Drosophila melanogaster: one gene and its partners. The protein of the gene in region 1 purifies or fractionates together with the protein of each later gene. This does not show direct contact. Each region holds a gene or a part of one and is shown on either strand. Other genes may lie near its edges.

What was found.
Region 2: the proteins of Surf4 (region 1) and Mcad purify together in Drosophila melanogaster (affinity purification with mass spectrometry, with the first as the bait; one large-scale study listed by BioGRID). This does not show direct contact.
Region 3: the proteins of Surf4 (region 1) and spidey purify together in Drosophila melanogaster (affinity purification with mass spectrometry, with the first as the bait; one large-scale study listed by BioGRID). This does not show direct contact.
Region 4: the proteins of Surf4 (region 1) and ZnT63C purify together in Drosophila melanogaster (affinity purification with mass spectrometry, with the first as the bait; one large-scale study listed by BioGRID). This does not show direct contact.

The regions. Positions count from the first base shown.
Region 1 is NT_033777.3:15,343,135-15,347,946, forward strand, and holds Surf4 (surfeit 4), read right to left. Parts: upstream 3,043-4,812; 5' UTR 2,826-3,042; coding exon 2,775-2,825; intron 2,019-2,774; coding exon 1,755-2,018; intron 1,690-1,754; coding exon 1,279-1,689; intron 1,217-1,278; coding exon 1,130-1,216; 3' UTR 519-1,129; downstream 1-518. Other genes in the region: CG31301 (uncharacterized protein), read left to right, coding at 3,171-3,549, 3,660-4,018, 4,075-4,271, 4,330-4,491, 4,556-4,778. UniProt on the Drosophila melanogaster protein: Endoplasmic reticulum cargo receptor that mediates the export of lipoproteins by recruiting cargos into COPII vesicles to facilitate their secretion.
Region 2 is NT_037436.4:7,717,436-7,722,021, reverse strand, and holds Mcad (Medium-chain acyl-CoA dehydrogenase), read right to left. Parts: upstream 2,673-4,586; 5' UTR 2,583-2,672; coding exon 2,565-2,582; intron 2,124-2,564; exon of another isoform or gene 1,963-2,123; coding exon 1,606-1,962; exon of another isoform or gene 1,546-1,605; coding exon 661-1,545; 3' UTR 550-660; downstream 1-549. Other genes in the region: CG7457 (uncharacterized protein), read left to right, coding at 1-124.
Region 3 is NC_004354.4:7,907,086-7,912,440, reverse strand, and holds spidey (spidey), read right to left. Parts: upstream 3,511-5,355; 5' UTR 3,070-3,510; coding exon 2,904-3,069; intron 2,564-2,903; coding exon 2,517-2,563; intron 1,733-2,516; coding exon 1,657-1,732; intron 1,589-1,656; coding exon 1,248-1,588; intron 1,190-1,247; coding exon 854-1,189; 3' UTR 556-853; downstream 1-555. Other genes in the region: dpr14 (defective proboscis extension response 14), read left to right, coding at 5,103-5,184.
Region 4 is NT_037436.4:3,301,987-3,306,731, forward strand, and holds the start of ZnT63C (zinc transporter 63C), read left to right. Parts: upstream 1-1,721; 5' UTR 1,722-1,866; exon of another isoform or gene 1,867-2,287; intron 2,288-2,615; 5' UTR 2,616-2,679; intron 2,680-4,745.

The DNA of each region.
Region 1 (4,812 bases):
GAAAACACTTCCGCCCCTATAAGTTACTTGTGTGCATTGTGTATTGCAATTGATTTGAACTGATTGCAACAATTTTTGGAAATTAATCAAATGTACTCATCCCTATTTTCAGATTTGATTTCAAGTTTTTAAAAAAAAGTGAGGCCGTTGACATTTCACTGCCTTGTTGGAGAGGTCAGGGCTTTTCAATATATTGTTTTATATTTAGTTAATTCACTAACATTACCATTCAAAACGGTGCCTAATCATTTTTTTTATCATTATATTTTGTGTCTATTTACAAAATTTAATCGTACTACTTGTATAAGGTTTATGCTCTTATTTTTGCAATAAAGTTATTTATTGTTAGTTATGCAGGATTCACTAGCAGCTAACTTAGTACGGGGTACCCAGTAGTCGAAGAATGGGCATTTCCCTCTTTGTTGACGTTGCGAGTCAGCTGTGCCTTAGTGCTGGTAAACAAACAAAAGCATTAACCATTTATCGGCCAATTGGCGCCAAGTTTAAAATGCACAAGTCTCGGTTTTTCATCTTTATGTTTATTAAAACGTTACAATTTAATTCTATTACACTTTTGCTTATAAACGAAAGAAACAAATCATTGTCAATTGGTACATCATATTTTATACATCGTTTTCATATTCAAACTTCTAGCAATCAACAAAAGGCAAACACCAAGGTTACAACTTATTTATAAGAGTGTACAAATCATATAAAAAAATCGGCAAAAAACATGGATATTGACAAGCATAGATATAAAATCAGTTATGTCTCTCATTTGGGGTGGGCTCGAAAGTGACCAAACTTTTTTCTTGCCTGTTCTTTATGTACAAAAATAAAATGTCCTAAATGTTTAAAATGTCGAAGTTTGTCGTTGAATGTGCGCGAATGGATTTGGAGTTGGGTTGGGGCGATCCCAATAAGTGAGCCATTGGAGAGGGGTATTGCGGAAGTCCCTTTATTGAAAATTGTCAAGTTCTTATACGTGCCGGTGTTGTGCTGCTGATGCTGCTCCTGTTGTTGTCCCATTTTATGGTAATTCCTAACTAACATTTCTCAGAAGGAGTAAAACACGGTAAAAGTCAAATGTTGAAAGTGTTTCGTTCAAGGAGCGACCGTTGCCTGGCCTCTACCACTTCTTCTTGTGCTCGTCCATGGAAACGCCGCCAGGGCCCAAGGACACGATCATGAGGAGGCCACCGATCACCGAGAGAGTCTGCGAAGGGAATGCGTAAAAATAACACAAATTCGTGCGAAAGATATTGTAAACCTGCTAACCTGGAAAAAGTCGTATTTCAAGAAATCCCTGAGTGGCTTGTAGGACGGAATGGTCCACCAGGCATTGTGGTACAGGTTCAGGATCGTAAGCAGAGCCACCAGAATCAGGGCGGACAGCTTCGTCTTGTATCCCAGCACGACCAGCACCATCAGAATGGAGCCGATGATGTCCTGTATAACTTGCCATACGCTCAGCTCAAAGCGGATCAAAGTGATGAACATGAAGGCCAGCAGGATGCGGCCCGCCAGCTGCATGAAGTTCTTGGGCTTGTTTTCGCCCATCGATGGCACGCCGGCAAACAGGCTGCGCCCCTCTATCCTGGCTTCCGCCAGGACGAGCAGTAGGGCTCCGATGAGTGCAAAGTTTCGCAGTAAGAACTGGAAGTCCCACAGAATGGAGTAGGCAACGGTCTGCAAACAGAGGATCGGGTTAACGTCAAGGCTTTTGCTTCTGGCTGATATAAATGCAGACTCACCTGCAACACCACAATGAAGAAAAGCAGTCCCACCGCTATGTCGACCTTAAATCTGGCCATCACCATGCCGCAGCCGCCCAGTTGGCCCAACAGGTTGACGAGCACAAAGACGGTGGCCAGGAACTTGCCGCAGCCCCAGCTCATGTCCATGTACTCCCGCTGCTCGTTCCATTGGATGTACATGCGCAGGCCGTCCTCGAAGAACGTGGCGATGAGGCACAAACGGGCCACTGTGGGCAGCACATTTTTGCCGCGCTTGATGACCTGCAAAAATGAGTGTTCGATTGGTTCTGGTTGAGTTGAGAGCAATTGGGATGGGTGCTGATATGGTGATAAGGGGACTACTGACAAGGTGATAAGGGATTTAAATATACAATGCCGTTGAGCGTGGCTTGCGCGTAGTCGCTAGAAATCGCCCGCTGGCTGTGACGTGTCTCTAAACGCTAGTATCTCTCGATTGCTATCTGCCAGCTAACGGGTTTTGGCCCGGCTGTCAATGTAACTTCATACATGTATGTATGTAAATCGCGAGCAAGTTCACCTGGCTTTCTAGCCCAACTATTACGGAACTCGACCTGGCCGCTGGCGTCCAGCTGCCCGCTATTTCTTTTTCAACACTTTCACTTGCGGAGACAGCTCTCTCGCACACACACACAGACACATACGCATCAGCACACAGGTAGAAAATAAGCAGCGAGAGAGAGAGTTTTCCCTGCGGCAGACGCAACAACTGTCAATTGCGGTACTGGAGTACAAGGCAAACCCATCATCTGGGTTGCACCCAGATTCTTATTGGAAGCAAATGCCCAGCACGTTGCCCCCATGTCAGCGGATCGTGATTATATGCAGCCAAGACCCTCGAACTTTGCCGCGTTTGGGTGACGTTGGCAGTTTTCCCAGTTTGCAGCTGCCAGGGCTTCCCCGCAAACGCCATTTGGGGCGCATCGGGAAGACGCTTCCTGCGGTGGATATGGAGTCCTGGTGGACTTCTTTTTGGCAGTGGAACCTAATATATCTTACCTGTTCCGCCACATCCTCCGTTTTCGCTATGTACTCGTTGGGTATGCTCATGTTGGCTGCTTTGGGCTGATCCGATCTCTCACTTTGGGGCAATCGTCTGTGGAGACACTTTGGCAATTCGTTTCTGACTTCTTGGGCGTCGCGTCGCTCTCCAAATTGTTGTTAAGTTACCAAAAAATCATGAATTAAAAGGCAGGAACTTAAAAACACACACGCACGACAAAGTATAGCCGTGATGGGGCCTATCGTTATCGCTGCGTTATCGATAGCCAATGGGCAACACATGGCCAATCGAATTGATAATTCGCTGTGAATGGGAAAGCAGCAATCAAAAAACAAGCGTGCCTGTGCTCATTTTATTTGACAAGTTGAACGCTATTTATTTTCCCTGTAAAGATGTCCGTTCAACAATCCAAGCCAAAGCAGAAGAAAGTCAAAGTTAAAAAACAGGATGATGCCGGCTATGGATCCGGGGAATTTTCCTTGGACTGGGATGTAGACAGCTACAAGACGGAATACGAAAGTGATGAGCACTGGGATCTGCGACGCAGCTTCATGCTGGCCCACAAGGATCGTTTTGAGGAGGACCGGCTGGTGTGCCTGGCCCAAACGTTCGTCAACATGGAGTTCATGGGCTGCAAGTATCCAAGCGCGACGATGCTTTTGGTGGCCGAGTTGTCCAAGGAAATCGCAGCGGATTTCCGTCAGAAACGGGAACAGCGCCTGAAGAGAACATTTGTCTCGGCGTCGGATGCGGCGGAGCAGCGCGCCAAAGGTAGACGACTGAACAATTAGTGGGCCCATAGGCGAGAGAAGATTCTTTTTATCACTAGTAACTATACGAGCCAGAGAGACCAAAGCCTAATGCCTAATTCCAACTACTAGGGCGCCGGGCTCCACCCCTTCCCTCGACGAGCTCCCCAGAGGATAGCTCACACATAAAACGCCAGTGTTTTGGCGGCGGAGATCCAGTCGATCTCTATCAAGATCTGCGTTTCGGTCGGCTCATTGTGTACTTGGCTGGGGGACGAGCCTGCCTGCAAAACTCCTGCAACATTGCGAATGTCAAGTACGAAGAGCGTGTCAGCCGAGATCAGCCATTAAGCGATAATACAAAATACGCCGAATTATTAGTAAATGATGAGGTAATAGCGACAGGACAGGGGGAGAGCCTTAAGGCGGCCAAGAAAGCTGCCTATAAGCAGGCGCATTTGACGATCCAGTCCTATTGCTATAGTATTAAGGTATGAAATTTCTGAAATAATGTATGCCTTATTAAACCCGGTACTACGCTACACAGCTGAATGCCACGCGCGACACCATCAAGGTGGAAAAAAACAAGGACGGCGTCAACATCAAAGTCACCAATGAGTCCGCCGACAGTCCGTGCGATCCCAAATTGGACCCCAGCAACAAGGGATATCGCATGATGCGACTGATGGGCTGGACAGGCGGTGGCTTAGGGCGACTGAAGCAGGGACGTGAAGAGCCCGTATGGTAAGAGTTCGACTTTTAACGTATCACCAAACGAAACTATTTTATTTTATATTTTCAGTTATCTGCTAAAGAACAATCGTAATGGTCTTGGATTAATAAATCCAAAGGGAAATTTCGCTGATTACCGACGGCTTATAGAAAACTATGTGAGATCGGACGATATACGTGACATGCAGTTTGAGCCCACGTTTTCGAAGGAAGAAAGAACCACGCTTCACCAGTAAGCACCGTCATCCCACATCGTAAAAAATAATTGCTTATTATGTTGGCATTTCCCTTTACAGAATCGCCAGACAATTTGGCTTGCGTTCCGCTAGCTATGGGAGTGGAGAGAGCCGGCGCCTTTTGATTACCAAGAAGATCGACTATGGCACAATACTGACTGAGGTCCTGCTTCGGCGGAACCCCAAGTTTTGTGATCGTTACTTTGTGCACGTACCCATGCAGAAGGCGCACCTGTTTCCTGGTCATGTGGCCGACCTGGAGATGAACGATGTATGTGAATAGGCAGGACGAACAAAATCTCAGCTCATAGTACTCT
Region 2 (4,586 bases), on another chromosome or scaffold:
GTCCATTTGGCAGCTGCAATTTGGAGACAAGGCCAAAATGTTGACCACATCAAATAGCCGGAAAATTGGAAGGCGGTACAAAGGTCTACTTAAGCTACTCGCTGATGGAAGCGATGCGGAATAGTGTAGTCTCATCATGTGTAAACCATTTCCTTGTGTTGTATGTCCCAGAGCATTTTTTATTGTTTGACAATTATATAGCAAATCTAAGTACAGTAAGTCTTATCGTTCAGTTGATAGCAGAACAGCGATTCGTTGAACCTAAGTAGAACAAACACTCAGCCCCCACAGGGCTTATCTTATCAATGGATGATAGCTAGCGAAATAATTTGCGATGGTCTAGACTCTACAATTTTGGGGGTAAGTGAGGGCAAGATTAGAGAAACTTGAAATATTAAGAATTAGTAAACATACTAACGCACTGACTGTTTGCTTACTTCTTCCTTCCTTTTATACACTTGAGGAATAAGTAATTCCTTAGAAATTACCAAGTGCCATTTATACAACATTTCCCTCAACAGACAAATCACAATCAATGATTTATATTTTCTTGTAATTATTTACTTATTGTACTTTATTAATCGGATTTGTGAATGTGTCTACAATGAGCATGACAACTGATGAGGTGAATGGAGATGAGGAATCCTAGTTAAAACTGACTTAGGCTTGACCCTTAGCAGCCTCGTACATGTTTCGGGAAATGATGAGGCGCTGGATCTGAGAAGTACCTTCGTAGATTTGGTAGATCTTGGCATCACGCATCAGCTTCTCCACGGGATACTCGCTGTTGAAGCCGTTGCCTCCAAAGATCTGGACGGCATCGGAGGCAATCTTGTTGGCCATATCGGCGGCATGGCACTTGGCAATGGAGGCATAGTAGCTGTTGCGGCGTCCCTGGTCGATTTCCCAGGCGGAGAGACGCCACGCCAGACGGGATGTCTCCACACCGATGGCCATATCAGCCAGCATGAACTGCACAGCCTGGTGGTAAGCGATGGGCACGCCAAAGGTCTTGCGTTCCAGCGCGTATTTAAGAGCCTCATCCAAGCAACGCTGGGCCAAACCCACAGCTCCGGCAGCAACTGGAGGACGCGTCTTATCAAAGGTGCCCATGGCAATTTTGAAACCGGCACCCTCGCCAATCAGCACATTTTCCTTGGGCACGCGCACATCCTCGAAGGTGATGCCACGCGTGTCGGAGGCGCGCTGTCCCATGTTCAACTCCTTGCGGCCGGGCGTTAGTCCGGGACTGTCGCGCTCCACAATGAACCCGGTGAAGGCCTTGCTGGGCGGGCACTTGGGATCCGGATTGGTGCGGGCCAGCACAAAGTACCAGTTCGCCACACCACCGTTGGTGATCCACATCTTCTGGCCGTTGATTACCCACTCATCACCCTTCTTCTCGGCGCGTGTCTTGATGCCGGACACATCGGATCCTGCTCCGGGCTCTGTAACACAATAGGCGGCGACAAGTGGCTCCTCCAGCAGGCGGCCCAGGTACTTTTTCTTCTGTTCCTTGTTACCGGACAGGATCACAGGAGTTTGCTATGAAAGAACGTGGCGTTTCGATCATCTTGCCGTAAATAGACATGACTTTAAACTTACGCCCAGACCACTAGCCTCTAAGGCGGTCATGATGCCAGTGCAGCCATAGGCCAACTCCTCGGCCGACAAGCAGGTGGTGAACACATCGAGATCCAGGCCACCAATATCAGCAGGAATGTGGTTGTTCATCAGGCCCAGTTCCCAGGCCTTCTTGATGATGGGCCACGGGTACTCGCCGCTCTTGTCGTACTGGGCGGCCACCGGGATGATCTCCTCACGGGTGAACTTACGTGCCAGTTCCTGCAGCTGCAGCTGATCCTCGGTGAGTGCGAAAGAGGTGCCATTGGGCGAAACGTGTGACACGGCGGCGTAGGCGCGACTTTGGGACACCAACTGGCGCAGGGCAGGCGCAGCAAGCTGGATTTTCGGATATTGGATATCGGATTTAAAGTCAACTGGTAAACAAGTGTTTATCGAAATGCAAAATGAAAATGTAGAAATAATCAGAACAACAACAAAGTTGACCGCGAATTAATCTTAACTACAAGCAACAAATAAAATGGGCCAACTACGTATGTATTTAATTAATACAACATCATGATCATAGACGAAGGTTTTTTTTATATTTACAAGGGACTTTGGATGTTTGAGGTTCATAACCAACCATCACATTCTATTTTTTTCATAAAACAGATAACGAATATGCCTGCCCATAAAGTTTGCATTCCGATTTAAATAGAGTGCACGATAAGCCGCCATTAGACGCCGCTAATAATACTTTCTCAGGGGGGGCAAAGTACAGATGATTGCTAACAGATAGGCAGCAACAAATTGTTTTCGAAACGGAACCCACTCGAATATATGTTTGTTGGTAGGTACATATGTATATGTATGTATGATCCTACGATCAACAGTTGCTGTCGTCACTAGCGTGATAGAACTTTGGACCTTTGGATATGATATGTCCCAGCGATGTGTTTTTCACTTTCTCTGCGTTGTAAATTGACTGATATGCTCACCTTGTTGAGGAACGCCATTTGAATGTGGGTTTATTTTCGTATTTTCCTGAGTTTTAACTAGGTCGCCTTGCTAACTCGTCGGTGGCTGCCAGCGAAATGATCCAAACGAGTTGCCGATGCGCCGGTATAGCGATGTTATATATGTACATACATATGTACATTGGTTCATCGCGATATGGCAGCGACGCTTGGACATTGGACCTTGTTGCGCTGGCAGTCGCAAAAGCTACAGAATCGTGGTGACGAACGAACTACAAGCATATGCACCTACAAATATATGCAGGAGGTTGAGATAAGGGAAGATTTCGCAGACATTTGTATGCGCTGTTGATGGAACTTTCCCAAAGCTTTTCGAAGAGTTAACAAATTTGTTTGTACCTCGCCTTAATTGTAATATAATGCTTATATAAATAAATTGTATTGTAAAATATTTTTAAAATACCAACTGTACATTTCATCCAGGTTTTGTCAAGTACATAGGCATATGTGTATGAAGAGACACACCCCCTTTTTTAAGATATCAATGTACCACACGAAATACCCTACGAAATAAGCTTAATAAAACATAGCTTTAACGTAATGCCCAGCAATCTACGTAAGGTAAAAGCTTTCAGTTCACAACGTAACGTATTGCTTCTGGGCAATAGGTATAAAATAATACAATCGGGTATATTAGGCTTGAAAATGTTCGTCGGCAGAGGTCATTGAGGGATAATTCATATTAAATAGTAATATACTATATTTTGGTTAGTTTAGAATAAAATGTAGAGACAATTAGATAATTATAGGTTTCATTCGCTTTAACTTTTTAACCCCATTTTTCCATATTCAAAACATTTAAAACATGATTTGATATGTTAAATAATAAAATAAGAACCAACAGGATAGTCCCTAGTCGTTAGACTTCGCTGCCACCTGTTAGGTGCTTAACAATCGGAGCATACTTTCCCGCTTGACACAAATAGACGGAACATGTTCCTCTGGCTGTTTTAAAAATAACAGATTGCAGCCCCGCCTCCCAGCGACAAAAAAATCTCCAGCGAAACGAATTGGAAATCCGTGACACAGTTGACAGGCAGATATAAAAAACAGAGCACTACGTGGCGCGGCACGAAGACATCATTAAATCAGCATCCGCAGCCATCCAAAGTCGTAATCAGCCGTTGAAGCGAGTGGTATCTCTTATCAGCCAGGCCAGGCGCATAAAACTGGGTCCGGTTAAAGCTCTTCCGCCACGACGAGGACGAACGCGCACAGCCGAGCTGGAGCCGAAGTGGTTCGGGTGGTGCGATGGCGGGTGGCGAGTCCTGTGGCGTCTAAGGCCCAACTGGGATAGCTGCTCCTAGTCAGTCATTTGACATTGCTCCTGCGAGAAGGTTGTCCACGGTCCGAGCCCAAATCCTCCGTCGCCCACAACTCGTCCGCAAGCCAGCCGTAGTGTGTGTTTTTTTGTGCTACCCACTCCCACTTTTGGGATACATATAAAAGTGCCACCCCCGCCTTCCCAAAAAAAAAAACCGCCTCATAGAGGAGTGAAATTTTAAACAAGTGTTACCTAAGCCCAAACCTCAAAGAAACCACAACAAAAAGGGAGCAGTAGTTGAAGGTTGCGGCAAAATGGCCCAGTTTGTGACCCACATCCAGCCAACGCTGATGGAGGCGTCCCAAGGTCATGTTCCTCACCACCACGGACATCAGGTGGGTGTGCAGCACTCGTCGCATCTGCCCCACAGCGGCCACAACATGCCCTCGCCGCCAACCCACAATCACCATCATGCCCACGGACATGGTCATCATACCAGCAGCGGTGGTCATCATGGAGGAGCAGGTGGCCATTCACAGAAGCAGGCAGCGCATCATAGCACCACCTCCGGCCACGCCGCCAAGGGACAGCACCACAGCCCACCGTCGAGGATCCATTCACCGCCAACGGAACACCATCCGGATCATGTCGGTCACTACGAGTACTTCCAGCATCAGCACGAGCAGATCTTCCACCATGAAGGAGCAAACGGTGGTGCC
Region 3 (5,355 bases), on another chromosome or scaffold:
CAACAAGTTGATTGGTTTGACCAGCTTTATCCGGAGCGGAGTTTTGATTTCATTTCGTTTCGAATCGTCTCGTCTCGTTTCGTGTTGATTCGTTTCCGAGGAAAGGAAATCAAAACAAGCGACTCTGATTACTGATTACACGCTCCTTCGATTCAGCTTGATGTGTTGTTGTTATTGTTGTTGCTGTCGCTGCTGCTGCGCAGTTGGGATTGGGCTGGCCCTGATAACACGTCACGTCATGAATCCGATTCATTACATTTCACGCCCGGCTATACACTATCTTTACTGTTATGTTTATGAATTTTGCCCTTTGCTTTGCTTCTTCGCCCTGCGCGAAGTGTTGTATCTCTTTCTGTCATTCCCATCTCGCCGATTAGCCGAAGGGCGCGCCTATCGATGACCAATCGATAGCTATTGCCGTTATCGACACATCCAATTCAAATTCAAATTGGATCCGAAAAACATGAAAAATCATAGGGAAAAAGAAAAATCGCTAGCAAGAACAAATAAGAAGTTAAATACAAAATAAAGGACTGCAAATAAAAGGCGTTATTTATCATTGGAAACTAGATATATACATATATCTAGTAACACATTTTTTATTGTTTACATGACATGGCTGTTTGCGAATCTTCAATGCTAATTAATGACAAAAACTAACTAAACTTAGTTTATTTCGGAAAAATGTTTTTTTTTTTGGTATTTCAAGCTATCTGTTTGTGGATTCGTATGACACGCGGTAATTACGTAAGCTATTTGACTAGCCGGATTTTCCCCACAACCCAACTGACCCACTCATCATCCCAACCGATTCCCATTAAATGCCTCCTCCGCCGTATTCATCCTCAATAATCTACTGTTCCTTGGCCAGGCGGCGCAGGGCACGTTTCCGGGTGCCCAGGATGTTCTTCATAACGATGTTGCGTGCGAACTGTTCGCCGAACACCGCCTCCGTGAAGTGGATGACCAGCTGGAGTAGAGCATGCGGCAGATAGCCCGCCGTCTGGGTGGCAATGCCCAGGGTGGACAGCGCCGAGCGGACATACGTTTCCGGCGAGGGAGCAAACACGCTAGCCTTTCGGATCTTAGACATATTTGTGGCCACAAAGCCCGGCTGGACGCTCTGGATGAGGATGCCGTGCTCCTTGTACTCCGTCTGCAGGTCATCACTGAATTTGTTCACAAAGGCCTGCAAATTATAGGTATTAGTAATTAGCCTTCTATCACTTCTGATGATATCCACTCACCTTGGTGGAACTGTACACGCTCAGCAGCGGATTAGGAATGACTCCGGCGGTGGACGATACATTTATGATCACACCACGTCGCTGGCTAATCATGCCGGGTAGAAAAAGTGCGGTCATGTGCGTCACCGAGTGGATATTGGCAGCCACAATGTTGCGCAGGAATGGGGGATCGGCTTTGTAGCAGTCCAGAAAGTACTCGGGATGGCCGTAGCTGATGCCCACGTTGTTGACCAGCACTCCGACATTGAGGCCAGTGGTCTTTTCGCGGATCTTATCGTAGATCTCGTCACCGCCGGTGAAGTCCACATCGATCACACGCACCTCCACACCGTATTTATCGCCTGAAAGTAGACCGCAAAGAGCAGTTGTTAGTTGAAGTTGTTAACTGTATTTTAGTGAGCAGACTTACCTATCTCCTTGGCCACCACATTCAGTTTCTCCAGGGATCTACTAATCAGCACCAGTTTCAAGCCCCTGCGAGCCAACTGAAAGTGATTAAATATTTATTAGCCTGCTCATATTTACGTACTTTTGGATAGTAAATTCTTAGGTCAGAGATAAAAAGCAATGGTGCTTTGGAATGGGAACACTGAACGTTTCTACCTAAAGCAGGAGTTTCAAAGACGAGTAACCCGTAGATTTTAAGAACAGGAAGTCATTTAAGTGTACTAAGCGTGTATATGAATAGAAATTGGGTGTGAACATTGAACCATTTTCTGTGCGTTCGACGCACGCCGAATGCTAATTTGGCACAAGCTTCGATCGGGGCCCTGTGCTCCACTCTATAAAGTAATTGCCATTCAGGGGACACGTGTTCCCTATAGCTTCTAGCTTCGTTTGCTCCAAGTCTGTGTATTACAAAATAAAACTGGCAAAAAAAAAAAAAAATTACCACAAAAGGTAGAAAAATCAACTGCGATTGCACTTTGTAAAAATAAATAACGAAAAGTACAAATGTAGCGATTTGCAGTCAAGCAAACACTATTAGGGACTGTTTGCGACTGGACTGTTGACTGAAGATCGATTTCAAAGTGCAGATTCACTTGGCTAATGCATTGGCGACCGCTAAACCAATGTCCAAGTCATCGTGGGCGACACTCAATTCGGTAATTAGTAATTACTAATTGCTCATTATTACTATCGTTTTTTGTTTGTTTGTTTGCTTGACCCGTTTCCCATTTTACTATAATCATCGGTCGAGCTTGGACGGACTTTGCTTGCGCTGGTCAAGATTGGGGCAGCCCTTCCATGTCATCTTTGTGTACATACCTCCTTGGCGTAGGCCTTGCCAATTCCATCGGTCGACCCGGTGACAACTGAAAGTCGAAAAAGTTAGCCAATAGTTCTGTGGGTTATCAGTGGATTTATGGGGCGTGGGGAACGATCTTATCGGTCACAGTGAAAAAAGTACTGAACTCCATTTTGGAAAGATATATAGTGTATTCCTTTAGGCAGTTAATGCAAAATTGGAAAACTTGAAAGTAGAGTGTTTGCAATTTGGAAATTCCCTTTCTTCACAATTTAATTGTAAAAGGGTCTTTAATCTTTTTAACTACACTTCTTTAGCAAACTTGCTATTCATTTTTTCACTGTGCACTCGGAATCGACCCCGTTTCCGCTCCTTTCCGGCATGTTTTTCCATGGCAACCGACTCACCTGCCCACTCGCCCATTTTGGAGAGATCCACCGAGGAGCCAAAGACCTTGGGGCCAACAACATTGGCGTAAATCCAGGGCAGGACCTTCCGGAAGACCTGGAAGCCCACGATTCCGATGGCCAGACCGCCCAGCAGGCTCAGCACTTGCGAGTTGTTCTCCTCCATGATGTTGATGATGGAGATTAGTGGTTCCTGGTTCCTGGTACTCCTAGGCAATGGTACCTATTGTATGTACTATATGGTGCGATTGCGATCGGTCGACTGCTATAGCCTCTGCCGGCTGATTAGTTTCTGATTCTACGATTTTCGAGCTGCAATGCCGAAATGGAAATGCTGACGCCGCTGCTTTTTTTTCGCCTCTGCCGACTGCGCTGCCTTTTCGAACTGTATTTGTGGTGTGTTGTAGTAATTCTACACACACACACACCCTTCGAAATCGCCACTGATTTTCGATTACTCGATTTATGTACGCGTGTTTTTTGCCTGATTTGTATTCCAAATGCGTTTTCTTTGAAAGGAGAAACTTAGGGTAGAAGGGGGAAAATAAAAACAAATGGAAAAAGCGATTGAATGTCAATTGTCAACGGCACAAAAGCAAATGAACGGTTCTTTTTCGTATCCATGTGCCCCCCTCAGAGGGGTGTGTGTCTGTGTTGTGTGCCCACTTATGTCATTTCATAGCGCTCACGCACACCACCAAAAAGCGAAAGATAAGGGCGGCTGCAAACAGTGAGCGCAAAAATTTATCACACCAAGAACCGTTATGTTGCACTAGCTGATTTTAAAAGAGGGATGAAATGTAAATTCAGCAATAGTTTTCCGCCTAAGGGTTCACAGGTTCATTACCGTATATCCTTCTTTTACTAGTCTATTAATTAGTTTATTTAAAAGCGAAAAAAGCATGCATATGTATATCATAGGAGGGCAGTGTAAGTTCTATGCTCTCACCAATACACGCCAGAATGGGGCAATCACCGAAATAGTCTGACTAATTTCCTGCACATGCGCAGGAAGCAGAAAGTGCGATAAACAATTTAACGCAGCGAATGCTACAATTAAAGTCGTTAAATATTTTTGATGTTTCTGAGTAAAGCCCGCTATATTAACGGTAAATTATTGATGGAGCGAGATGGCTATAGCGGATCGCGTATGTGCGAGGGTAATCCTTTGCCTATCGATAAATATCGGTTACTTATCGAATTTCGAATTTGAAGCTTAATTTGACAGTAAAAGAATGGTAGTTTATCTGTATTTTTACTCTAGGCTCTTAACAATTAGTAAAATACAGGTATTTCTGAGCTCAATCGCCCGATTTATTTGCATGCCGAGCTATACGGATTCAAAGGACCTTGTTTGGTGGGTAGAAATCCCTGGATTGCAAGAATGCCGAGAGAGATGCTGGCCTTTCGGAGCGGATTCAGTGCCGAAGCAAGTGTGGGTGAGGGAACAACAACGCCGAAGGACCGGCAAAAGCAACTTTTATATTGTTAAATATTTATCAGAACCATCCGCCGAAAAGAGCTTTTTTCCTGGACAAATGCAAACAAAAGAAGAAAAGAAAAGTCTTTTTCTTTTTAAAACAATCTTGAAGATTGCATTATTTTGAGCTTGAGAGGTGAGTGGCGTCTGCTATTTGTTGTTGTTGCTCGGGTAGAGGGATTCCTTCGGATGAAATAATAGGGATGCGGATGCTGGCCATGCGCAGAGCATGCCCTGACCTACATTCCCGTTTATTGGCCATCCGAGCAGCAGTTGCAAAAGGATAAATACACACGCAACACGAGCTGGTTAATAAGCGCTTTTCCGATTTTCCAATTGTCCGACATTCCTATCCCTCCAGCCTCCATCCGCGCGCTGAAAAGTGTGCAAAGAAATCAACAAAAAAGAGAAAAAGAAAAAGTAAATATACATATATAATCGAAAAGGACACTCTGAAAAAGAAGATACTTGAGTGCAATATGTCCAGCAATATTTTGCCGCAGGGCAATCGATAAGCGAAGCGAAGTGAAGTCCGTGGAATCATCGCTGGCGATGCAGTGGGACGCTGATGCAGTTGGACTTGGATCGATATAGAACAGTTTAGAGGGGCGTTCGTTCATATGTGCATATCCTGCGGCGAGTGGCGCCAGTCGATGCATCATCCCGCATCCTGTTACCGTATCCCGTAAGTCGGCATATGAAGACACTCCGCTGCAGTGATGAGATCGAGGCTGTTTTGGATACTGGCGATTATATACTCCTCACTCCATCACATCGGCTCGGGTTCCACGTCGACCACATGTGAGTCTCCACCTCATGCCTTAATCACATTGCAAACTTTTACCCAACTCAAACTTTGGCACTTTTAAGCTGAAGATTAAGTTCTTTTGTTTACTTTGCGGATTACCCAAGTGAAAAATGATTATTTTTTTTTATGTAAAACAATTATTTTACTACTTAGTGTGCAAGCAT
Region 4 (4,745 bases), on another chromosome or scaffold:
ACGTCATTTGCGAGCGAGAGGGGAAGCTTTCTGTGCAACAGCCAATACTTTTTTTTAGCTTTTTGTTCTACTTTGACTACCATTTTAATGCCAATGACCCAAGCGGATAACTAGTGACAATGGCCTGTGTTGTAGACACAAAACCCACGACTAATTGTGTGCTCATCTGATCTTTTGTTCTAACGCCATTTACAAGTTGCCTGATCCAGATTTTCAGGAAGATCACGTTCACAGCTATCGAATTTTGATATATTACCAAATTTGAAGCCCGCTGTTTTAGCCACATTACAACGTTTGCCACGCTAGTCCAATCTATGGCCATATAAATCTCAGCCTTACGCTCACCTTTGTACTCTCCTTATCGTTGTTTACTTTAGGGTTATTAACGAATTTTACATTTTAGAAGTTGTTCGAAAATGGCAATTTATTCTGTACGGCATACTATATACTATATGTGTTTTACATATTTTCTCCCCATACAATATGCCTACATATCATTGCCACTATCATTATGCCAACAACCATAACAATAACAATATCAGAGACAGGTTCGGTAGCACTCGCAGTCCAATTTAGATAATTTTCCACTGGACATTTCAGTTTAAGCGGTACGAAAGCCGGAAGCTGCTCATATGAGCATATCTCCTCTGTTCGTATAATAGATTTATCTTTTTTATCATAATTTGTTTACGGGCACTGCCGATGACTGTCATTTGTCGCACATATAGATTTGCGTATGTGGAGCTCGTACTAACTCCCTTCCATTCACAGTGACTAATTTACTAAATTTGGTTTCTTTTATTTACACTTTATTCACTTTATTTTCTCTTCAAGTTCCAATTGCCTGTTATCACGTAGGGAACATTTACCCATTCGCCTAATCTTATCACTCACTACTTCACGCACACGGGGAATTCAGCAAAGGTAAAATAGGTAAAAGTCTTATTGACTTTTTGACGAAAAATGGAAATAAGTCTTGAGTTAAACTAAATGCTGAAACGTGCTCAATATAATTCCGCTGATTTCTGAATTGATTATGGGGGTAGTCACTTTGGAATTACCGATTTTATGATGGCTTTGTTTCTTTGTACACCTGTTTCCTCGGCCGGTAAACGCGCTACTAACGAAATCCCCAATGATCGTGGTCAGTGATGCCGCTTTAGCCATGAATATTATCTTCAAAAAAGATTTTAAAGTTGGATGTTTCTACTAACAACTCACTTTTGCCCTGAAAATATATATATTCTTTTTTTTTGCCAAAATATTTTATTTTTTAGATAATTTCCTTATAAAGGCACGACATCACTAGTAAGTCATTTACCTTTCCCATCCAATACACAAACCAACTTTGAGCTTGAGTGCCATCGAGCTTTTTGTTGGTTAAAAGGGGTTAAACGCAGTTGTTGGTAGTTTTGCGTTAAACAAAGAGTTTAAGCTACATTATATTGAAATGTAACGCCTAAAAAAATAGATTTATTGTAAAGTAGCCCTTCACAAAAATATTTCGTATTAAAAGTGACAAAATGTATCAAAAGCCTGCCAGTTTTTTATTTCAATTACATTACTGGCTCCTATTTTGGTTTCTACTACATTTACTAGTTTTCAAACTTATTTTTGAAAGACCGCTTGTAACGGTCGATAGTCATTATTGTTAACCCGATAGAGCTGCACAAATATTATCGATATATTATTGGTATTTTCCAACTGCCCGGATGGATTTTCGATGACTGTGGCTGCAGTCACACTGAGTCGGGAAAATAATTATTTATTAAAAATTCGTGGACCCGCGCTGTACATCTGTGTCTGTGCTGTTCGCTCCGCTCCAAGTGCGGCAAAAAGCAACCAAGAAGGCAGGCAGCCCAATCGGTAATTTACGGCGGAGTAGTGAGGCGATATACGGAAATCGCGACCAGTGCACGTGCAATTGTGAATCGTTCTCGATTTTCCCGACCCGCACCCTTTCTTCTCTTTCGACCATTGTGACTGTGCACAATTAACTTGCATACATACGTGTATGTATGTACACACTCTGTTTGTATGTATGCGTGCCACCCCCAATTGAGGCGGAAAAAGGAGAAGCAAAGGAATTTCTGCAAAATCCAAGATGCCCATGCTATTTTCACTATTTTATTTTGCCAACTTTTCAGTCGACACTTTGCTCTTGCAGCAACAAAGCCAACAACGGCGAAAATTGGAAGTTATTTTCTTTTCTTTCTCCACTCTTTTTATCGCAAAACAACAGCAACACTGCCCGTGCACCGCTCTCCCCGCTCCCACTTGCGTCCTTGTTAATACAGTGAATATCGGCTAGCCACAAACAGGGGAAATACAAAGAATCTTAATTTGCATTTGTATGGTTGATAAAAAGTCAACTTATCAACTTATCTAAATCGTCAAACCAAAGTGACTTATACATTTGTAAACATTTTTAAGCGTTTTCCCTGTTTTAATTGCGAAAATAGTAAAGATATCGTGTTTTATTTTTATCAACAGTGCAGCGAAAGTTTTATAAAGTATACATATATTCAGTCAAATAATTATTAAAGTCCTATACTCTCCGTATACACTGGATTTGGTTTTTTATTAATTTTCAATTATGTGTATTTTGAATTTAGCCTCTTCAATTGGAGCTTAGGAACCTTAACAACCAAAGAACCGATTTCCAGACTTAAAGCTAAGGTAAGTTAAATACACCTATTATTCTTAGCCTCATTATCAATTTTTAATGAAACTTCAAAAAATAGATTGTAAGAGTGTTATATCTCTTTTCTTAGTTAAACATAATCTCGGAAATGATATCCATTATCTTACGTAGGGGATTTGCCTGCAGGAGACCTGCATCAGCATGTCTGTTATTGTTGCACGTGGGTCACCGAACTGGGCGGGTGTGGGCGTGGTCAGGTAGTAGCTGAGCATATCTGCATTTCAACAATCGATCTTAATCTGCGCTTGCTTTTGAGTTCCTTTCGTCTAGGACTTGTTATACTTGATTTATGGCCCCTTCCCGCGATTTCCCATCCTCGAAAACCGGTTGTTTTGACTTAATCATCGGTTCTCGCTGGTTATTTGATATGAAATTCTTTCTGACTCACAGCAGTTGTTTAAATTCTGGCGTGGAAATCCCGATCTTTTTCCTTATCAAGCCAAATAAATATGAAGGCTAATTTGCTATGTTTGAATTATTTTATTTAAATTACTTTTGAAAAACAAATAGGCAGTACAGCTATTAAATAGCAGGTTTTTATTTGTTAAAGCGTAATATCTTTCAGATTTTATAGATTCTAAATCTTCCCATATAGGTTTATTTTTCCTCATTAAGTCTTGCAAATTATGTTCGATTTTCTTTCTGTATCGGTTCTGAGATATTGTATGTTGCAGCGATTTTCACTGTTGCATAAAACTCTTGTATTCCGGGCCTAATTAAATCACTTTAAATGCCTGCTCGGTGTGGCTGAAATAATTCGATTTAAAGGTCAGGCACTCACCCAAGTGACTTTCCAACTCTTTTTGTTCTCGGCTCCCAGTCAGTCATCAGCGAAAATTGAGTGAGATCGAGGAGGAGGGGAAAATCAATATGTGCTAATATAATTTTGTGGCAAACAAATTAAAGCACACAGAACAGCTCGTCGTCGCTGCTCTGATTTGTTTAGCTATACGAATATGTACCATATTTATTCAGTTGATTTGGTTCAGTTTCAGTGGTGAATATTTGAGCAGCAGCATTTAATATTTGATACTGGCCAATTTGATTTGTGGGTAAGCACATTGACTACCGCCCAAAACTGAAATGCAGCCGAAAATGGGGCCAAAAGTGGGTTATGTTTGCTCCGACCACCATGCAAGCTGGCTTTGATTTACGACTGCAACTAAAGTAGGTTAACCTAGGTCCAGATAACTACTACATTCTGCTTCTCCAACGATACCATATTCTAATCTCAAAGTTGCCTGAGCTGCTGGCTTTCCAAGAGTAGAATCATGTACATGTGACCTTGACACGGTTTTCACTTGCTATGCAGGAAAAAGGGTTTCCCGCATCCACCGTACCGTATCCATTGAAATTTGATTTTGTTATTTGTTTATCGACGCCACTTCATGCAAATTGGAGAAATTCAGGTGGATATATTTTTAGCTGACACATCCATGCAATGTTTGCAAATGCATATATAGTATTCACCTTTCTGCCAGCCTGATGAAATTCTTTTGTATATTTTTCACTCTGTTCTCCGTTCTCGTGGAACTCAACCAGGTTGGACCACCCAACGCCCAGCTCCGTCTCTTACTTTGCCTTTCTCTGCGCCGCCCTTTTTCCAGAGCACCTCCGTCCGCCTTCCGTTCCCGGAGGTCGGGAAAAAGAACCGGGTTAATCGTCGCCACGTTGTCGCCGTGGAGAACAAATGACTCTTTTCGTTTGTGGGTCAACTGCAATTTTTGCCATTAATATAATTAATTGATTGCCATTTTGGTTTTAAATGTCGTAACTTTATGTGAGTGAAACGCACCTATTAAATGGGAATACTCACATAATAAAATTCAAAAGCGTTCACATCGCAAAATCTATAAGAATGCTAAAATTGTTTTCAGTGCTGCACTTCACACTTACGTAGCAAAAAGATTTACCCAATCTTAAAATTACTTTAATTCCTGCTTAATAAATCTTTCTACAAATTGCCGATCAATAAATCAACAGTGCGTCTAATTTGGCTTATCGAAATGCCCACTTTCGAGTACTTTGTACAACATTCTGT